Mus musculus: one gene and its partner. Each later gene encodes a partner of the first gene's protein in a complex. Links are inferred from orthologs where the notes say so. Each region holds a gene or a part of one and is shown on either strand. Other genes may lie near its edges. The genes, in order: Rai2 and Ctbp1.

Region 1 (10,332 bases):
CTTTCCTTATGTCTCTATTTGATTTTAACCCTCATGTTTCAACTGTTGTATTTTTCATCATTTATAATTTTGCATTGTCATTATGCTGTCAAATGACCACCTCATTCATGCAGCCAGTAAACAATAGCCACCTCCCAAGTCATTTGACAATAAAAATTTCAGCAGTAGGGACATTATTTGGTATTCAGTAAGAAAGAATTTGTACTGTACTCTCTTCCACTAACATCTGTCATCTGTAACTTCAGGGATTTTATTAACCCCTTGAAAACTTCATGTGTACTGACTCACACAGGTCATGTCAGTGTGCCATGGGGTAATGAGCTCAGTTACCAAATCAATTCACATATATCATCTACAGGTTTATATGACTATATATCTGTAGCTAGTTCACCAATTCCCACTGTCTCCTGCTTAGATTTTGAACTCTAGACCTGCCTATATGGCTATCCAGCAGACCCATGACTCAAACCAAGTTACCTTAGAATTCTCTGGGTCAGATACTGTTTAACATTTCACTCACTCATTAGATGTTAGCTGTTACTATTTTCTCGTGTTCTGCATTCATGCATCTATCAGGATCTCTCTATACTCTCTATATGTTACAAGAACTCTCCCAATCTGCCAGAAAATAAGCACCCTTCACCTACCTTCTTCACTCTTCACCTCTTCATTGGGTGCCCAAGAGTTCTCCCATGGCTTTAAACTCCAATTCCCCAGAGTGAAAATTGGCTCCAGTAATGCACTCTTGCACTGACGTCTCAGTTTGCCTTCCTTACTTCTCTACTAGTGGTCTGTCCATCTCCAAGTCAACTTTTTACATTCTGGTCCCTGTGTCAGAATTGCAATAAATTTATCATCTCTACTGCCAGATCTGTTTCCCAGGGTCTTCTATCTCTCACTGAGTATACCCCACCTACTCTGGCACATGAATCAGCCATTCCAGTTTTTCAGGTCCCCAATCATTAGTTGATTCTATATATTGGCTCCAGTTCTCACTCTTCTTTGGTGCCTATACTATCTTGACTCTAGTTCTCATTATTGAAAATATAGACAGTCTTAATTTATCTTCCTGCTGCCAATCCCACCTACCCCCTCAATCATCCATTAACATCAAACAACAAACAGGTTAGTCCCCAATCTGTACCTTCCTTTATCACTTAATGCTTAGTACATTTTCATGGCTTCCATTCATTATATTGAAAAACTCCTTTATAGAACAGACCAGGGATCTCAAGTGACACCTAGCCTCCTCCTTTGCTAGTCTACAGAGTCACCATTCCAAATTCATAACATATTTAGTGTCTACAACATGCTTATATCCAAGCATTAATACCTCTTGTTCCTTCCATTTATACTGCTTTCCCCTTGTTTTGGAGAACTCCTGTTCATCTCTCAGCATTCCACACCTGTCAACATATCTGTTCAAGCTTTTCTGACTTCTCTACCCTACATCATTCCCCACTCTTCCTGGTAGATGTTTGCCTAGCCTGTTTCATAGCTTATTGTGTATCACATTCTTTGTGTGTGTGTGTGTGTGTGTGTGTATCACATTCTATCATGCTGTGTTAAACGTTATATATCAGTGTGCAAATTGGGGTCAGCAACCATGCATTAACCATCTTCCTAACTGACATTATAAACTCAGTGACTGGGTAATGAGTATGTGCAGATGTTTAAGTAAATATTGATTTACATTCATTATTTAAGTTTTAATTGTATATATTTACACAATTAATTTATACTTATATTATATAAATTTATATTTGTTGTTTAGAGTCACCAAATAATAAAATTATAGATCTCAAAAGCCAAGTTTGACCTGCCCTGGAAGACAGTTATTATTATTCTTTTCTGCTGTTTTGCATGTCCTTTCTTACCTCCACTTTCTTAAGCACTTCTTCCATATTCATGCTCCATTTCTTCCCCAAAGCACCCTCTAACCTCCAAACCAGACCAGCCCTTCATGGATCTCTCTCTCTACCCCATCTCTCTTCAAGAACAACCTCAGTGGAAATGTAGAACATGACAGTGTATATTTGGGGGGGATAGGAGTCAAGATGCCTGCTTTTTGCACTGGTCTAAATCAGTATAATCATTCTTGAAAGTATAGGTACCTCAAAGGGCAGCTATATGAATCACAACTGCCAGCGAGGATCAAACATTAACCAGCATTGTGATGAAGTCAACAAAAGAAACAGGCTAGTAATTGCCTTGCAGGATATATATCAAGTCTCTACCTTATACACACATTCCCCCACAACACACAGAAAGCCTTTATGGATCTTTCATCCATGAATTTTCTCAATTATAATTGCCCAGCTGTGTCTTTAGCTGTATTCAAGCCAGGTTCTGGCAACTGGCATATCACATATCTGATCCAAGAACCCTGACCAGAGAAAGCCAACTAAATGACTGAAGACATGTTCACAGGTAAATATTTCCACAGGTACTGTGTACTCTAGGGTGGTTTAAACTCCCAAATTCCATCTGAAAAGAAAAAGCAGGAAGATCAGCTGATAGTCATTTTTACCAGATCTCAAAATTTGATTATTTATTTTTCTGTCCCTGTATCAACTGACTTTTCATTAAACGAGCTCTTTTTCAAAAAAGAAAAATATAGTATGAAGGATGGGTACTAGCTGGGTGACTTCTACTAGTACTACAGTATTAGTTGGGGCACAGTATTCTGGAGGTACATACAGAAAAAAATCTAAGCATGTAAAAAAAGATACTTTAGTTAAACTGAATACATGCTATTTATCTTTACACAAATGCAACTATAGTGTAACTTTTAATATCCCTTTTATGGAAGACTTCCAAAGTTCCCACAGAGGTCATAATTTGGCCCTGGATGCTACTGGTTTGCATAATATCATGGTTAGAAGAAACCCTTATAAATGCAAGTGCAGGTCCCAGTATTAGTAATGAATAGGTGGGTTAAGGTGGGAGCTCTCTTACGAATTTTGTGTTCTTGTGGTCACCCCAAATTCTACTAGAGAAAAGCCACAATGCTGAGGCTTGGAGGGGTTTGAGTGTACAAAGGACTGTAAAATTCATACCGTTCTCTGACCTGGTTAAAGTAATTCCTGCCATACCATTCACTCTCAAATATCATCATCCTGTTTTAACAGGAAAAACAAAAACAAAAACAAAAACAAAAACTCAGCATCACTGAGGATTCATTAAACCAATGCAGTTGCTTCCTTTGCCTTTTTAAAACATTTTTTAAAGGATTTAGACTTAAAACAATTTTGATGACCAGTAATGCTATTGATTCATACTGTTTATTTATGGGTCACCAACCACGTATTCATCATGTCTATAACTCTAGTTCTTACACAACCCAGTATCTGGCAAACACTGGGTCCATAATAAATGTTAAATTAATATGTGAATCACATCTTGGTTAGAAATGATATTCTGTTTCTGGACTAATTTTGTCTTTGCTAATGTCCTGCCTTGGGAGTGCCATCTCTGACCTAGACCGCAATCCCCTGAGGCATATTAGGGAGGGTGGTAGCTGTTCCTTCTGAATGCTCCCATTTCTATCAACCACTTTCCCTTTCAGGGCTGTTCTTTTTTGCTTTTAGTCCTAAGGTCTAGAATGGTCTCCAGACTCCTGGAAGCAGCAAGGTCCCCACACCTCTGGGCCTTCCCAACCCGAGAGCACGCGGACAGACACAGACACACACGCATGCACGCGCGCGCATACACACACACACACACACACACACACACACACACACACACAGAGAGAGAGAGAGAGAGAGAGAGAGAGAGAGAGAGAGAGAGAGAGAGCTTGCCTCCAGCTCCCTAGCCTTCTGTCACCCCGCACCGCCCACAACCACGCCCTCCCCGTGGGCGAGATCACCTGTCCCTCCTCTGCCACCGCCTCCTCGGGTACCCTTTCGCACCCCCTCCTGCTCCCCTTCCTCCGCCACCTCCCCCAAGCCCTCCCCTTCCCCGCCTCCTCCCACCCCTTGGTGTATATAGTAAAGGCCAGGCGCTGCACGCAGACACACACTCTCCCGGACACAGGCAAACACGCACACACACACAACCGGCAGTGGCGGTAGCGACAGCGGCTTGGTGACAGCAGCGACAGGGGCTCCCATCCGCTGTGCACCCCCTTCAGGCGCCCAGCGGCGAGGCCAGACCCAGAGAGTTCCCACACTAGCGTCCACCCCGTGGCTTCCTGGAGGCGGCGGCCCGGATCCCGAGGTAGCGGCTGCGGGCACCCTAGTGCTGGTCGGGGTCACTCCCGCCCTCCCCAGGCGGACCTGCCACCGGGACGCAGGGGGCGCGCCGGGCTGGGCGCGCCTGGCGGGGCCGGGCACCCGGGGAGGGGCCTGCCTGCTCCTGGGGGCAGGACGGCGCCCAGAGGCCAGGGCCAGCGGGGAGGGCCGGGCGGGGGCGGGGACGCGGGCCGAGGCTACCACTTGTGCGGCTCGCCCAGGCCAGGCTCCCGCTGGCGGGCGCTACGCACTGGCCGGCCCGGCCGGGGACAGTCGGGAAGGCGGCGCCAGGCGGTGGGGCGGGGGCCCTGAAGTGGGTTTTGGGCCGCCACCCGCTCTGGCACTGGGCATAGAGGGCGGCACGCAGTGCACTCCGTGCCCGGGCACCGCACCGGGCTTGTCTCGGTATCTGCCATTCTGCCCCAGCCTGGAAAACCAGGCGCCTTCCAGGCCCTTCGAAAGATGGATTCTGTTGACGTATCTGGCGGCCCTGGCGAGAGGGGTGGAAAGTTGGGTTTTGCCAGATCGTGCTGGGATCTTCTTTGTGCCGCTGAGCAAGTCCCGCATCCCGCTGGAGCAGGGTGAGTGCCTGTCGGCGCCCTGGGAGCCCCGGTGCCCCACAGTGCCCAGACACGGGGTGGCTACACCAGCCCCGGCTTTCTGCCATGTTAGGCACCAAGCAGCGTTCTGGCTGCATTTTTTTTTTTTTTTTGTATGCGTGCATTTCAGTGGCGCCTTTTGCTGCGAAGGGAGTTATTGCTTTCCTGCGCGTTGGCTCCCCCAACCCCAACCCCCGGGGTTGGGGCTTGCTCTGTGTGTTTGTTGTTTGCCATTTAAACCCCTACTATTGTTCAGGATAAGCTCCGCCTGGGTGGGGAAATGGCATCCCACCACAGTTGTTGGCGAGGGGTCGAAATCTTGCCAAACAGCTGCTGCTTTGTGTTTCCCTATCCGAAGTCCGCGGAGTGGGTTTGGGGCAGGATGGATGGTGGAGAGACAGATAGGGCATGAAGGGAGACCGTGGCTTTGCGAAGACTGACTTGTCACCCACCCCATGGTGCTCAGTCAGCCTCTCTTCTGACTGACAAACTTTTATAAATATTTCTCTTTTAGAAGAGAGAAGCCTAATGAATTTAGCCGTTTTTTTAAAGGCGGCAATCCAGCTTTAACAATGGTTTGGGAACTTAATCAATGAGAAAGGGAGGGGAGGAAAAGAAGGCGCTGGCACCAAAGCGGGGAATGTGGCTGCTTCTTACAGAGTCAGGTAAAAGGGGGCCAGGGCTGGGCAGGGCAGGGCACAGCGCCTGGGTGGCCACATTCCTAAAACTATCAGTTGTTCTTACCTGTATCCGCTGGTACCACCCACGCTTGTGCCCTCACCTCTGGGCTGCCCGGTCCTGGCAATGGGCTTGAGAGGCGGCTTGCAGCAGGGAGAGGGCCAGCCTCCCTCATCTGGCGTTTTTTAAGGATGTGTAAATATTTTGCTGAGGATAAGTGACATCAACAGAATGATATTCCACAGAGCCCGGGTGTGCAGCAATGATAAATAGATACAGCCAAACAAAGTTTTGATAACCGCATATTCTCATGGCTCGCTCTGTTTCGTTTGGTCTTTGTTTTTGTTGGTTTAGCATTATCTCGCATCCTCTGGTGTGATCCCTTTATTTAGCCAATTCTTGGAAGCTTCTCCTTAGAACACAGAGAAAAGCAGCCAGCAGGGAGAAAACAATTCTTAGCCTCTCCTGCACCAGGCAGATTTTTCTTTGCTTTCCCAGGATCTCTTTCCCACCGTTTTCTAGCTGTCTTCCCTTCTCTCCTTTAGAGTCATCACAATTGCGTGCTGGTAGACCAAGGGACTTCAGCTAACTTTGAAAGCGTGTTGTGGCAGAGCCTTTGTTACAGTGGTATACCAGGGGACAGTAGAGAGGCTAGTGGGGAGGTAGCACCTCCCTAGGGTAGCACTATGCACCCATACCTTGATTTTTCTGCATATTTTTTCCCAGAAGAGAAATATGGGGAGCTGTGCTAGTTTCAGAAGCAAGGATAAGTTCGAAGGCACAGAATCATAAGCCGTTAGCCTGGTAACTTCCCAGTTTCTCTGGCCCTTAGGAGCTCAGTGAAGCTATACCCCAAGTTTAGACAGCCCCATACCCTCCCCACAGACACACTGTATTCTGAAAATGGCTATTCCCTTCTCAGCCTGACAGATGCCCACTGAGTGCATGCATGCCCAAGGTGGCTATGGCCCTTTGAGTCAAGCCACACTGAAACTTGTGGGCCAGGAAGCTGTTGACTGTTTTGGCACCAACTCAGAGGATCATTCAGCTTATCCAAGGAGGCTCCTTTATTATTCAAAGAAACCAAGACCACATGCAGGGAGGTTTGGCCCCAGGAAAACCTGCTCATCCCAGGAGTAAAAGAGAAAACAGTTTCCCGGGTGGTGTCCACTGCTTGCTTGAGAGCAGGTTGACAGGTGGGCACTTCCGTCTAGAAGTATAAAGCCAACTACAGCATCTTTTATCCAGAAAACAAACAAGCAAACAAAAGAGCAGAAAAAAAAGAAAGAAAGAGAAAGAAGAAAAAAAACAAATAAAAACAAACAACATAAGTTTGGGGGTATGTGAGCAAATGTAGCCTGAAGGCTCCAGTGTCAGCAGCCAGAAGAGTCTAGTTCCAATGACCCAGGAACTGGGAGACCCTTGACCCAGAATGGAGCTATTCTGTATATACAGACAGCCACACACAGGGTGTGCTCAGAAGCCACAGGAAGCAAATTGCAAGTGTCTGTTCTCTGGCTCCTCCTCTGACCTTAGATTAGTGGGGAGGAGGGAAGTAGAGAGAAATAAATCGGAAAGGAAGCTAACATTTGTTCTTGTCCTGTCTGCCAGACACTGAATCTGTGGCAAACCTTCTCTGTGACCCTGTGACCCCAGCGAAGCATTATTTAACAGATAATTCTCAGAGAAACTGTCAGCCCTGATCTGATTCCAGTGTTTGGTGTTTATGATTTAAACAGCAATATGTCTCTCTGCCCCTGCTCAAAGCCCCTTATTTATTTCTCCCAAAGGCCAGAGTCCTCAACCCATACCTCTTTCATAAAATATAGTACCTAAATTAGTGTGGTGTCTGTGAGTGTGTAGGTGGGTGACCCTCCAGTGGAGGCCCCCTCTTCACCTCTCTTGTGCACATGTGCCCAGTGGAGCCAAACCAGTTCCTAATTCAGGTGGTGCCCTTTTGTTTAAGAACCCACAAAGCCTACTATTATTAGCTAAATGAAAGTTGAGTGACCAAATGATGGAGTCGATGGAGTGAACAGTTGCAGAGAGGGAGCCATAAATCATTGTCAAGGGAGACACAGCAAGAGAGATCCAGGGGTTTGTATGTTTGATGGGGACTCATAGCTTTTGGTGTCATGCTCCTGTTGGAGCCCCATTCTGACAAACCCAGGTTTAATCCTTACAGCACTTATGTGAGACTGTGCGAACAGATAATTAATTTCATTGTACAGGTAAGGGACCTGAGATGTTTGAGGTACACGGTGAGACCAAATGGTAGGTGAGTTTTAATGCTTTGTTATTTCTCAAATACTAAATAAATATGAGGAGGGGGTTTGCTATGCAATTCCTTGGACCTCCTTCCAACCAGACGACAGCCTCTAGACCTTAGCAATTCCAGAACCACCAAAGAGTCAGGATTTGAATGCATAAAATGAGGGGCTTTGGACTGCTGCCTCTCTGATCAGAATGTGAGGAGTACCTCAGAGAATGAGGCTCTCTATGAGGGGAAAGATGGCTAATTGCTCTTTTCCCATGCATAAAAGCCTGTGTGGGCTTCTGAATTAGGCTTGATTTGGGGATCAGAGTGCCATCCTTGCTGTAGAGTTGGAAGCTCTTTGTCTTTGGAGAATGCCTCTGATTGCTACGTCTCCCTCCCACCAGATCATCTGCCTGGGCACCCATCATCCCATTCGTTTTCGTTCTGCACTCATGGCCTCTCTTCTGTGACTCACAATTTGTCTACTGCTCTCCTCTGTCTTCTGATGGCAGCTGGTGAGAAGGCCATTTTGGCAGCCACGTTAGTCCTTCTGGATGTCACACATGACCCTCCTCTTTCTTGCCAAGAACACACAAAAACACATATGCATGCACAGGCACAGGCATAGACACAGGCACATGTAATTTGATCATGTTTCTGTTTCTGTATCTGATTCACCAAATTAGATTGCTAACGCACAATTGTTATTGGAAGATGTGCTTGGCTTTGGTGATTTTCTATCACAGCCCCTGCCTTGAACAAATCAGAACAGTTAAGGTGGAGGTAGCTCAACCAGCAGCTGCCTAGAGCAATACTGGTTGTACTTAGTGGTTTCCCCACATCTGTGGGACTGCAGCTGAGATATATGCTTGATCTGTTTTAGTTTGTTTGGGCTACTGTTACCAAACTGGCTAAACTACATGTCTTTGAGCAATGGAAATTTATCACAGTTCCAGAGACTGTGAGATCCAGGATCAGTTTGCTATCAAACTCAGCATCTGGTGAAGGCCTTTAAAATTCATAGACAGTGACTTCTCACTGTTCTCTCCCGTGGTAAAAGGCCCAAGTAAATTCTCTGGACATTTCTGTTTCTGTTGCTGTCTGTCTGTCTGTCTGTCTGTCTGTCTGTCTGTCTGTCATCTCTGGAGCGAGAGACTGAATATCAGGGCCTTGTGCATATGAGGGAACTGTTCTACCACTGATGTACCTCTCTTCGCCTCTGAGGTCCCTTTATAAAGGCACTAATTCCCGTTGATGAGGGTTCCGCTCTCATGACCTAATCATTTCTTGGATGTCCCCACCTCTTAATGCCATTACCTAGTGAATTAAGATTTTAACAAATGAATTTTAGGGGTGGCACATCAATCTTCAGATCATGCAGCTTTACTGGGCATTTCTTAAATGCCCATTGGAATCTCCACTGGGCTTCCAGAACATCCCAGTCTTCATAGTTTCCATTTCTATTGTTATCATCAGCTTTAAGAATTCCAAACATATGAGAATTTCAGAGCACACCTTTTCCATGCCTGTCACCCTCCCCTCCCCACAGCTTTTCAGCCTTTCAGCTCAGCACTAATAGAATTTCTTAATGGTCATATTCTATATGAGTACTGTAGCATGCAAAAGCCATTGGTCCAATGGCTATGGAATGCTTGAGAGGCAGCTTGTCCCAAATTAGGTATGCTGTAAGTGCAATCTATCACTGGATTTCTGAGAGTACAAAAAGAATGCAAAATAGTTCATCTGGTGTTTGAAATATTGTGATGTGGTGAAATTATATTTTGGATATATTGGTCAAGAGACATAGGATTAAAATTAATATTGCTTGTTTCTTTTAATTTTGAATGCGACTACTAGCATATTCTAGAGTGCTCATCTATTTCTGTCAGACACCAGTGCCCTGGAGCATACTACCCACCAATGTTGTGATGTCATGGTACCTGCAAATATGCTAGAGAGTGGGGAGTTAAATACCTCTGTCTCTATGACAGATGGGAGGTCTTGTGCTGACTCAGTATGCACAATGGCTGACATTAGAAGATCGTGATTTTTCAGTAACTAAGGAGCCATTTGGGGAGTTCCCCACCAGGCATGCCTGTGATTCTGTTCTGAGAATCGTCATGGACTGCAAAAACCCACTGCAGAATTCAAGGCAGGGTAGGAGCCTAAAGGTTAGACTACTAGCTTGAACAAAATGGCTTCTTCCTTTTCTTTTGCTCTTGCTTCTCCAGAACACCCAGCCTATGCGCGCATTCTTTGGAGAATTAACTCCTGCCTAGACCGCTGACTTCTTTCACACCTGCCCTAGTAACAGCTTAAAGTCTTTCTCAGGGCTTTGTGCTTGGAGAAGAATGTGCCAAGTAGATAGGCTCATGCTAAGAGTGGGTTGTTTTGAGCTGGGGCCATCCTTAAAGAAGAAAAGAAGATTCACACTCAGTCATTTTCTGACAGCTTCATGTGAGCAACAACAAAGATACAGTTTCTGTAAGGAACACAGAGTGATGTCAAAGAAACCCAATATCGCTCGCCCTGATGATACCACAAATAAGGCTACCTGAGGAAA
Region 2 (10,429 bases), on another chromosome or scaffold:
CCAGCATCAACCTCAGGTTTCCACACTCATGTGCACTTACTTACATGCACAACTATACATCTATGAGCACCACACACATATAAACATGTATATACACATGCACACTCATGCAAATGTACCTACAGATGGAAACATATATACGTATGTACAATACACACACACACAGAGAAAGGCTTCACAAGTCATAGAAAAGGAATGGTAGGCACAGGCACCATGTCACCATGTGACTGGATTGTGAGCCTTGAGGATCTGCATGCTGAGGGGCTGTGAGAAACAGGCACTGCCATGCAGTGAAAGAGCTGTAGCATGAAACTTTCTCCTCAGATTGCTCACAGCTGTGTCTTTGACCTCCACCCCCGGGAATCAAACCACACATGTGCTCACCCATGACAGCCTGCTGACCCAAGACGAGCCACACACCAGAGCTGAATGGAGGTTGTGAGTAAGCCGTGCAGAACCCCATGCAGACATCCAACGCTGACACTACAAGATAACTGCTTAAATGAGAAACACACTGCCTGAGGGTGAGACAAACCAGGATGCTTTGACGACTTTTGTTTATAAACTTTTCTGATGAGACACAAACCAGTCCAGGCCTGGGAAGGCCTGTGACCTTCCATCCTTCTGTACTTCTTGGATATTGCTCAAGGTGACCCATGAACAATCTATTAGAAATTTCTAAATCTTTATACACTGTGCTGGTTGATTTTGTCAACTTGGCACCAACCTAGCTATATCTGGAAAGAGGGAATCTTAACTGAGAAAATGCCTCTATAACATTGGCCTCTGGGCATCTTGATTAATGACTAACATGTCCACTATTGGTGTCACCTGTAGGCAGGTGACCCTGAGTTGTTTAAGGCAGACTGAAAGCCAAGAGGAGCAAGCCAGTAAGAAGCATTCCTCTATAGCCTCTGCTTCAGGTCCTACCTCCAAGTTCCTGCCTTGAGTTCCTACCCCGACTTATTTCAGAGATGGAATGTGAACTCAGGATTTATAAGATAAAACCCTTTCTTCACCAGCTACTTCGAATCATGGTGTTATACCTCAGCCAAAATATAAACAAACAAACAAACAAACAAACAACAAAAACCTTAAGAATCCTCTCTCTGAAGCTGTTTATCAGGTTTAGGAGTTCTCTGGTGGAATTTTTAGGGTCACTTATATATATACTATCATATCATCTGCAAAAAGTGATATTTTGACTCCTTCTTTTCCAATTTGTATCCTCTTGACCTCCTTTTGTTGTCTAATTGCTCTGGCTAGGACTTCGAGTACTATATAGAATAGGTAGGGAGAAAGTGGGCAGCCTTGTCTAGTCCCTGATTTTTGTAGGATTGCTTCCAGCTTCTCTCCATTTAGTTTGATGTTGGCTACTGGTTTGCTGTATATTGCTTTTATTATGTTTAGGTATGGGCCTTGAATTCCTGATCTTTCCAAGACTTTTATCATGAATGAGTGATCCTGGGGAACAGGAGGCCATCATGGCCATCTGTATAAGTTACTCAGGGCTCAGGTCTGTGTGGTGGGTGGGAGTAGAGGAGCAAATGTGGACTCAACTTAGTGTTGGTTCAGGAAAGACTCAAGGTTCCCAGCTGGTCAGTGCATGATGGACCAGGCCACCCCCTATCTGGGCATCTGTAGAGGCCTCCAGGGCGTGGGTCCAAGGTGGGAAGAGGCCAGGCAGGAAGGGGGCCACAGGGCCAGCTGGGGAGTGAACAGTCCTGCTCCGAGGGATTAGAGGTCTCCTCTGGGCCCTGGGCTCAGGCCCAGCAGACCAGATGGTTTTCTTTACACAGAGAGAGCCAAGAGTCAGAGGAGGGACTGGCAGCTGGCCTTCCTCCATTCTTGCGTTTTAATAGTTGTTTTTTGCTGGAAAATCCATTTCCAGAGTCACTCTGGGCTCTGAACCAGAGCATCAGGAAGAAGAGGGTGTTTCCTGGCCTCCTTGGGCCCATTCTGGGATCAGTGTGAGGCCAGATTGAGGTGGCCACAAGAAGTGGCTGGCTACTGCTGTGCCCCTGCCCAGGCTGCCCTAGAATGTCCACCCTCTCCCAACTACTTACCCAAACAGAGGGGTTGAGAGAAGCCATAGAAGAGGATGGAGATAGGTCCCAGGTCCCTGAAACAGGTCCCTTTGTCTACACATCCTCGGGTCCTGCTTTGCTCCTTGTCCAGCCTGCCCAAATGCTGCTCTGGGCCTGAAGATAAGCCTCTCACTCCTGCTTCAGGACCCAACCTTCTTTTTGCTACCACAGAACTCTTGCATGCCCTATCATTCAGGTATCTTGGCTCAGTCTTTTCTAAAAACAGGTGTTACCAAGAAGTCTAAATACAAATCAGTCCCAGTTTGTGCCCCCATGATTTGTGCTTTTTGATCCAATTTGAGCAAACTAACCCTCTCTGACAGGTCATTCTACAGCTCTGCTCACTAAAGGGCGACGCTCCTTCATTTGGTCCCCTTGCTCAAGTCCTAAGCTCTCACACACATTTGCATGCACACACACACAGAAACATACACACTGTACCCCAATCTAGTCTCCCTTGGTTCCCTGTTCTTTTTAGCCCACTAATCTGTTTCAGAATTGGTCTACTGATACCATGCCTGCTTTGAGGGGGGTAGGGTGCACGCAGAGACCAGAGCAGAATGTCAGGTGTCATAGTCCATCACTCTTTACCTTGTGACAGGGCCTCTCACTAAACTGGAAGCTGTTTGGCTAGGCTTGCTTATCAGGAAGCTCCCTGACCTGCCTGTCTGTCTGCCAGTGCTGGGTTAACAGGTACATGTATGGCTTTTTTTACATGGGTGCTGAGGATTCAAACATAAGCCCTTGTGCCTACAGAGCAAGTGTATTTACCCACTGGGCCATCTCCCCAGCCACCACCTGCTTTTTACTATGCCCTAGTCTTAGAATTCCAGATGGCAGACATTCATTATCCATATAAAGTTGACCCATTAAAAACAAACAGCTGAGCTCTGGGATTGATGCTGCCTGTTCACTGAAGCTCCACAGTTCTACTCAGAAGGCTTGCTTCTACTTTCAACTATTTCAGCATCCACAGAGGCAGAGCCTCTTTGCTTTGGTTGATTTGCAGGCTGGACATTGATGCCAGGCTCAGATCCTTTTGGGAATTACTGTCAAATCAGTTCAGTGGATCACAGCCTGCATCTAAAGACAATGCAGTGGAGGAAATGGGAAACCGAATCACACACAGCCTGGCACTTTGCATGCAAGCTAAAACTTCTGTTTAGTAGTAATTTTCTGTTGAATTTCCTTCAGTGGGTTTTTCCAAAATGCCAGTCCAAGAGCTGCTGGCCTAGGGGCTGTTGTTTGGAGAAAAGGGGTGGTCCCACCACAGCCCTCCCTCCCTGTATGTAAGGATGGCCTCCCCAACCCAGGGCCCTCTATCCCCTTAAGATGTAGTGGGGACTATAGCCCTACCTGCTGCTGCCCTCTTCTGGGTCTCCCCAGGACTGCCTGCTCCACAGAAGATGAGTGGAGCAGGTCATGAGAGCTAGGACCAGAAGGGACCCACCAGTGCTCCCATTTGATGAAGCCATTAAAACTGGTGCCAGGCGTGCCGGCTCTTTCTGGGATTTTTATTTCTTTAAAATAATTCATACAAATGGTTACAGTCACAAACATGATTTTAACCAAAATATTGCTAGCCTACCACATGAGCAGGACGGCACCACGCAGGCAAGGGTCTGCCAACCCCTGCCTCCCCCAGGACAGACCCCGGTGGTCCTGAGCACCCTGGGCACTGCAGACGCCTCGGAGCCACTCGTGATGCCGCCTTCACTTGGAACAAGGGGTTCATGCCAAAATTAGGAAAAACAGCCTTTGTTGTTTTTCTAAATTATTCTAAAAATAAGACAAGCAGGTAGAAAAACAATGCACTGTGTGGCATAAAAAGAAAAACAGGAAGGATTCATTGTCCTGAGAAGTGTGCCGACGGCCACATTCCGGGGCACGTTCCAACGTAGAAAAGGAAAAATAATCTCAAACTGACTTGCTGAATGCTCCCTCAGGTTTTCTTTTTGTTGACAGCTAAGCAAACAAATCCTTTGTAATGTTCTAAAAACTGTACACAGACAAGAACATTCGTGATAGAATTAGCTACTAACTTCTTTTGCTTAAACGAGGAACGCAAAGGACACAGGACAGTGAGCCAGCCCACAGGACGGGACAACTACAATCAACTTGGGGACGTGCTTCCTCTTGCCCCGCCTAGTGCACGCCCGGGCCAGTCTCTGGAGTGCTAGGGCCCACACTGGATGCCACCTCTGCACACTTGGGTCCAAGAGCGTGCAGCACCCTCCACCAGGTGCCAAGGCTGGACAGCTCCTCACAGGCTACAACTGGTCACTCGTATGGTCTCTATCCGCCTCAGGCTTGACAGTCTGGCCAGGAGAGGGAGCGTGGGGTGGGTGGGCCACAGGGGGCAGGCCATGAGACAGGGACATGGCACTGGGAACAATCCCTTCCACAGCAGCTGGGATGCCAGTGGGGGCCACACTCACGACGCCTGGAGGGTACCTGCTGAGAGAGGAGGGCAGACGTGTGAGCTCTACAGAGACCCACCTGCTGCACACAGCCCTTTCTGTATGGTTATCAATGACCCCTGAGGTCCAGAAAAGTTGGAGGCAGTAAGCACTTGGTCAGTGCTGGGCAGCATCACAGCCTGGCTTCTCACATGAGGTCTTCCCCAAGCCCCATTCCCTGACTCCTTACTACTCTCTGGCCCAACAACAGTTCTGCCCAGCAGTCCTGTCTAGGAGGCCAAACCTCTTACCCCAAGAAAAGTAGACTGTCCCATCCAGCTCAATCCTCTAACATCCACAGGGGCCTTACATAAGGGTGTAGCCCCAGTCATATGACCCACTACTGCATAACCTACTAGCCAAGGTCCAGGTTTAAGCCTCATTGTCTTGCAGACTGTCCCCTCCCTTGCCTGCTCACCTGTAGGCAGCCCCATTGAGCTCAGGGTGCACCACAGCAGGGTCCATGCTGGCCCAGTGCGTGGCGGCTGTCAGGTGGTCCTTGTTGACACAGTTTTTCAAGCTATCTGGGATCCGGCCTAGGATGTTGGAAGGTACACCAGAGAGAGACAGCAATGTGGATTAAAACTGCTGCCTCTGTGGGGGCCAAGAGGCAGACCCAGAGCCACCTTCTTGCCACAGCCCTGGCTTACTCCCCAGGAACATCATAGGACCATCCACCTGAAAAGTCAGCTTCCAACCTGGAGACCTTAGCCCCATACATGTGCTCTCAGCTCACAAGCAGCTGATGGCATCCAGCACAGCAGGTCTTCATGTACGAAAATGATGTGTTACTCAACTTCACCCCAAGGGACTCCCCCACCATAAAAGAACAACCAAGTGTCACCTCCCCTTAACAGGCATAAAACAAACTTGCCAGCCTGATAGCATGGCTACCCACCTGTGATGGCTCGCCGGATTTCCCGGGCTGCCTCCTCTCTCATCTCAATGGACGCCTGCTCACTGTACCATGCAGCATGGGGTGTGCAGATGAGGTTGGGTGCATCCTTTAAGGGTCCCTGGCTAAAGCTGAGGATAGCACATACCCAGTCAGAGTGATCTGAGCACCCAAGTCTGGGAGGTGCAGAAGGCAACCAGCCCTGGGATGGGAGGGCCCCTGGCCTTTCCCAAGGCATCTGAAAAAGTGGAACTGCAGAACTAGCAAACCTACCCCAAGGTCTTAACAGTAAGGGGTAGAGGGGATTCTGAGCCTTAGAGGAAGAGCCCTGCTGTGGTGCTGGCACAGCCCTGCCCAGCAGAACAAACCCTAGGAATGAGGGCTCTCAGACAGACTCCACTGTGTTCTTCAGTGGCTAATCACTCAACTGGTCTGCTATCCCTTGATGGGCTTTGTCAGCTGCTGGAGCCCCAAGAAGGAAGTCAGCCCAGACTGGACTAGAGGCTGCATGCGAAGCCAAGCTAGTGTATGCCTTGGCCCCGCTGAGTCTGGGGACCATGGGACCATCATGGACATCAAGAGACAAACTGAAAATAAGCCAAGTCTAAGCCCAGCCCATTACTATGGCCAAGGCTAGACAGATTCTTGAGGATCTTGTCCCCTCCTGAGAGCAGACAGCAAACCCTCCCCTAACCCAGCCAGCAAGAGGGCAGTGCTCAAATACATGGTCTCCCACGTCATAGTCATCAGATTGGTGGGCATAGTCCATCTTAGGGCACAGGGGCACCTGAAGGGCTCTGACTCATGCACGTCCAGCGCTGCGCCACGGATCCGCCCTTCCTTCAGGGCCTGGGCCAGTGCCTTCTCATCCACCAGGCCACCACGGGCTGTGTTCACCAGAAAGGCTCCTTGTCTCATCTGAGAAGACAGGATGACCATGTGAGTGACTGACACTGGGGCTTTTCACTGTAATGGCACATCCACAACAAATCTCACTTCCCACCCACCAGGGGATGGCCTGATACAGACAAGTTCTGGGAGAGACCCTGGGCCAGGTGGGCAGTAGCATCAGCAAGTATACCCTGATGTATCAACAGAATGAGACAGGCCCAGGAATTTAACTACTGCTGCTGTCTAGGCCAGAGGCCCACTGTCTCCTGGGGGGAAGGGACAAGGGTAAACTCTGAGGGAAGAGTAGAGGGCTACACTGTGAAGAAGGGACAGCACTGCCCTGTGGGAGAGGGGAGGAGGGTGGTGGGGAAGCTGCAGCGTACCTGCTTGACAGTAAAGTCATTGATGAGGTGGTGGTTGTGCTCATTGAGGCCGCAATGCAGGGTAACGCAGTCACTGTGGAAGAGCAGGTCCTGCAGCGTGCTCACGCGCTGTAGCCCCAGGGCCCGCTCGATTCCATCAGATAGGTATGGATCATAGAAGAGGACGTTGAAGCCAAAAGCCTTTGCCCGAAGTGCCACCGCCTGGCCCACACGACCTGGCAGAGTCAAGAGGAAGTGAGACATGCATCCTCAGAGCTTGCTGCTAGCCTCACAGCCATAATTCAAGGGGCCTCCCAGGTAACTCTGCCTGCCTACCAAAGTTTCCCTAGATCTCTGGGATCTCAGTCACACACACTCTGCAGCACATCTGCTCCCTGGTGCTGAGGCACCACAATCAAGGGGTAGGAGGAATGATGCTAGCTGTCACCCTCCAGCAGCCTGCCATTGATCAGTTATACTCACTAATATATAAAGTCAATACACAATAAGCTTGGCCCCCTCCCCTGACCATTTATCAGTGGGTCTACTTATCAGACACCCTTGGAATCTCAATTCTGGCCACAAACAGCACATGTTGGAACCACACTGAACATTAGAATCCAGCAGCAGGTGTTTGAAGAGTTGGCTCAGAGGATAGGAGTGCTTGCTGCTTTTGTAGAGGAACCAAGTTCGATCCCCAACATTCATGTCAAGCAGCTTAGAACCACATTTAACTCTAACTTCAGAGGAATCTGACACTTCCGGCATTTGTGAACACCTGTACTCATATGAACATACCTCTTCCCACACACACACACATACAATAAGAAATAAATCTTGAAAGAAAAAATAATCTAGCAGCAGAGAGGGTACACTGTATGCAATGTATCTGCCACCTTCCTGGCCCAACTGCACAAATCCACATCAGGTGTCATCTGAGGCAAGCCTGGCTCTGTCGTGGGAGCCACAGGCTGAAGGGCATAGCATGGGGACAGCTCCATATATCCACACATCAACAACATGCTGGATACAGATGGAGCAGACAGCTGATAAGAGAATGCTGGGGACATAAGCCTCTCCTGCAGCATCCATCAAGAGACAAAGTTAATACCCACCAGGAAAAGAGCAAAGAGAACAGTCAGGCATGTTGGCAGGACACAGGCAGCTTTAAAGAGGTTAGCCAGGACAGCCTCCCCAGGAAACTCAAGTTTGCAGGAGACACAAAGGTGATGGGAGCAAGTGTGAAGACGCCACTAGAGCATCAGGACCAAGAGGGAGGGCAGGGCCCACCAAGGCTCTAAGTCCCTCCCAATGACTCTACAGGATTATGGCACAGAAGACAGGGAAGGTGCGTCAGGAGGGCCATGAAGGAATGCTAAAGCCAAGGGACACAGCAGTCACAGGCCAGGAGGGAGGCCTCTGCAGAATCCAAGTAGACTGACAGAGGGTCACAGAGAAGCTTTTAATACAGGACAGCTGCTGCTGAGAATGTGAGCAGTAGAGACCTGGAGAAAACCTCCCCATTGTGAAAGCTGGGGGCTGCCCTGAAAATGGGCAGAGGGCGCTCAAAGAGAGTTGTTTCCTGAGGTACCCAAAGCTGTCAGACAGCACCACCCCAGCACAGATATCCCTAACAGCACAGAACAATAATTTTAGGGATAAATGTCACTTACTTTGGCCTCTACTATTTCTTTCTAGACGAGACTAAGTATACCACAAACACTCTAACAGATAAGAGTAAGAACAAGCATATCCACAGACAGCCCAGCCAATGGGATCAGCTGGGAGGACTTCTGATACCTGCTGGGAACACGTGACAGCATCAGAGGCACATGTGAAAAACTGGAGAGGACAGTCAACTGTAGCAGAGAAATGGTCCTTACAAAAGACCCAGTCACCTGTTCGAGAGCTGGAAAAGCTATAAAGAATTCTGCAATGAAGAATCTATTAGAAGATCTAATACCAAAGACAGAACAGCAGCCAATAGAAATGACTCAAACTAAAGCAGAGAGAAAAATGCAGTTTATAAAGCACTGACCATCACAGCTAATGTCAAAGAGGCAAGAACAAAAAATGGTAGCAAGTGTGGCCCAGCAGGGTGTTGAGAAATGCCTGGAGAACCTGCAAACCAGGATCTAGGGAAACTGCAGTATAGCTCAAATATGCAAAGGCCAACTGTGTTTCTAAACACTACAGGAAATTAAAAACACAACTTGTTAACAGTAGTTATCCCTAAAACCAGGCTGGAGGGGTGGTACTTAGGTCCTATCACCAGCACTGAGGAAAGCACAGTAACAGGTTTTACAAACGCTGTACAAACATTGTGTATTGATCACTACAGAACTCTACTAAGAGAAATCAAAACATGAAATAATAGGATTATGTAATGTCTTGAGGACATGGTAAATTTTAGAGACCAGACTCTCACACCACCACAAGGACTAAACAAAACACAAACTGATGAGCTGATTCTAAAGTCAAACTATCAGAAATGAATGACATGGCCAGGTGTGGTGGTGCACACCTTTAATGACTTTAATTTCAGCACTTGGGAGGCAAAGGCAAGCACCTACGTGAGTTCAAAAAAGAATCTTAAACAACCCCTTACACTAAAAGAAAGAAAAAGAAATGAATGATATGGATGATGGTTTGAATAAAAATGGACCCCATAAGACTATAGGGAGTGGCACTATTAGTTGCCTTGTTGGAGGAAGTGTGATTCAGTCTCTTCCTGCTGCCTTCTGATCAAGATGTGGAACTCTCAGCTCCTTCTCCAGCACCATGTCTGCCTGCATAAACCCTTGAACTATAGGGCAGCCCCGACTAAATGTTTTCCTTTAAAAGAGTTGCCATGGTCATGATGTCTCTTCACAGCAACAGAAACCCTAAGACAGACGTTGGAAATGGGGACTGTGATATTGCTGTGATAGGCTGGTCCATGATTTTGTTTGAAGGAATGTGGACTTTGGATTAGAAAAACAGTGGAATGCTTTAAGCATTGCTTAATGGGTCACACTAGTAAGAACATGGAAGGAAGTGGTGCTGGGGGGTGCTGGGGGGTAAATTGAACTGTAGGGCCCTGGCCTAAGAGGTTTCAAAAGATAAGAATTTTAGTATGTGGCCTAGAGATTGTTCTTGTGATATTTTGACAAAGAATAAGGCTACTTTTTGCCTTTGTCCAAAAAGTCTGCCTGAAGCTAAATTGAGTATTTATGGATTAATTAAGTTGGCAGAGGATATCTCAAAACCGCCTAGTATTGACTCTATCCTGGGGTTCTTAGTGCTCTTATGGAAATCTGTAATGAAGAGACACAAGCTGAGCAAGGAAAAAATACAAAATGTACAATTTGAGGAGGAAAGGAACACCAGACTGTATCTTGTGAAGTGGACTCAGTCATGTCATATGATGTTTTTCTGAAATTGTCTTATGAGAAAATGCTTGACTGAGAATAGACACATGGTGCTTTTCTGGAAGCAGCTTGAAAAAGGGCATGTGATGTTTTGCTGGAGCAGACACTTAAGAGGAACCATGATATTTGGAAAGGGTATAAGGATGATTCAGCAGACAGTGGACAAAAGTATGGTATTGGTTCACTTTACTGGTCTTCATTGGGCTTTGCTGATGCTGCTCTTTACTGACGATGCTGTGGCATTGGTTTGCCTTGCCCTCTTTGCTGATCATCTTTGTTGTGACTTCATAGAGAAAAATGTACCAGAGACCTTCTGGTGATGTTC

The links.
Region 2: the proteins of Rai2 (region 1) and Ctbp1 are in contact, whole or in part, in a cryo-EM structure (PDB 8ARI), measured with the Homo sapiens proteins. The link is inferred for Mus musculus from reciprocal best matches to the Homo sapiens genes RAI2 and CTBP1. Residues at the interface, in NP_001166210.2 of Homo sapiens: Glu315, Ala316, Leu317, Asp318, Leu319, Ser320, Met321, Lys322, Trp326; in NP_001319.1 of Homo sapiens: Arg36, Cys38, Met42, Val51, Ala52, Phe53, Cys54, Asp55, Gln57, Gln60, Glu61, His63, Val66.

The regions. Positions count from the first base shown.
Region 1 is NC_000086.7:161,713,047-161,723,378, forward strand, and holds the start of Rai2 (retinoic acid-induced protein 2), read left to right. Parts: upstream 1-3,989; 5' UTR 3,990-4,221; intron 4,222-4,506; exon of another isoform or gene 4,507-4,816; intron 4,817-10,332.
Region 2 is NC_000071.6:33,244,143-33,254,571, forward strand, and holds the end of Ctbp1 (C-terminal-binding protein 1), read right to left. Parts: intron 6,931-10,429; coding exon 6,716-6,930; intron 6,360-6,715; coding exon 6,229-6,359; intron 5,573-6,228; coding exon 5,445-5,572; intron 5,083-5,444; coding exon 4,965-5,082; intron 4,545-4,964; coding exon 4,358-4,544; 3' UTR 3,581-4,357; downstream 1-3,580. UniProt on the Homo sapiens protein: Corepressor targeting diverse transcription regulators such as GLIS2 or BCL6. Has dehydrogenase activity. Involved in controlling the equilibrium between tubular and stacked structures in the Golgi complex.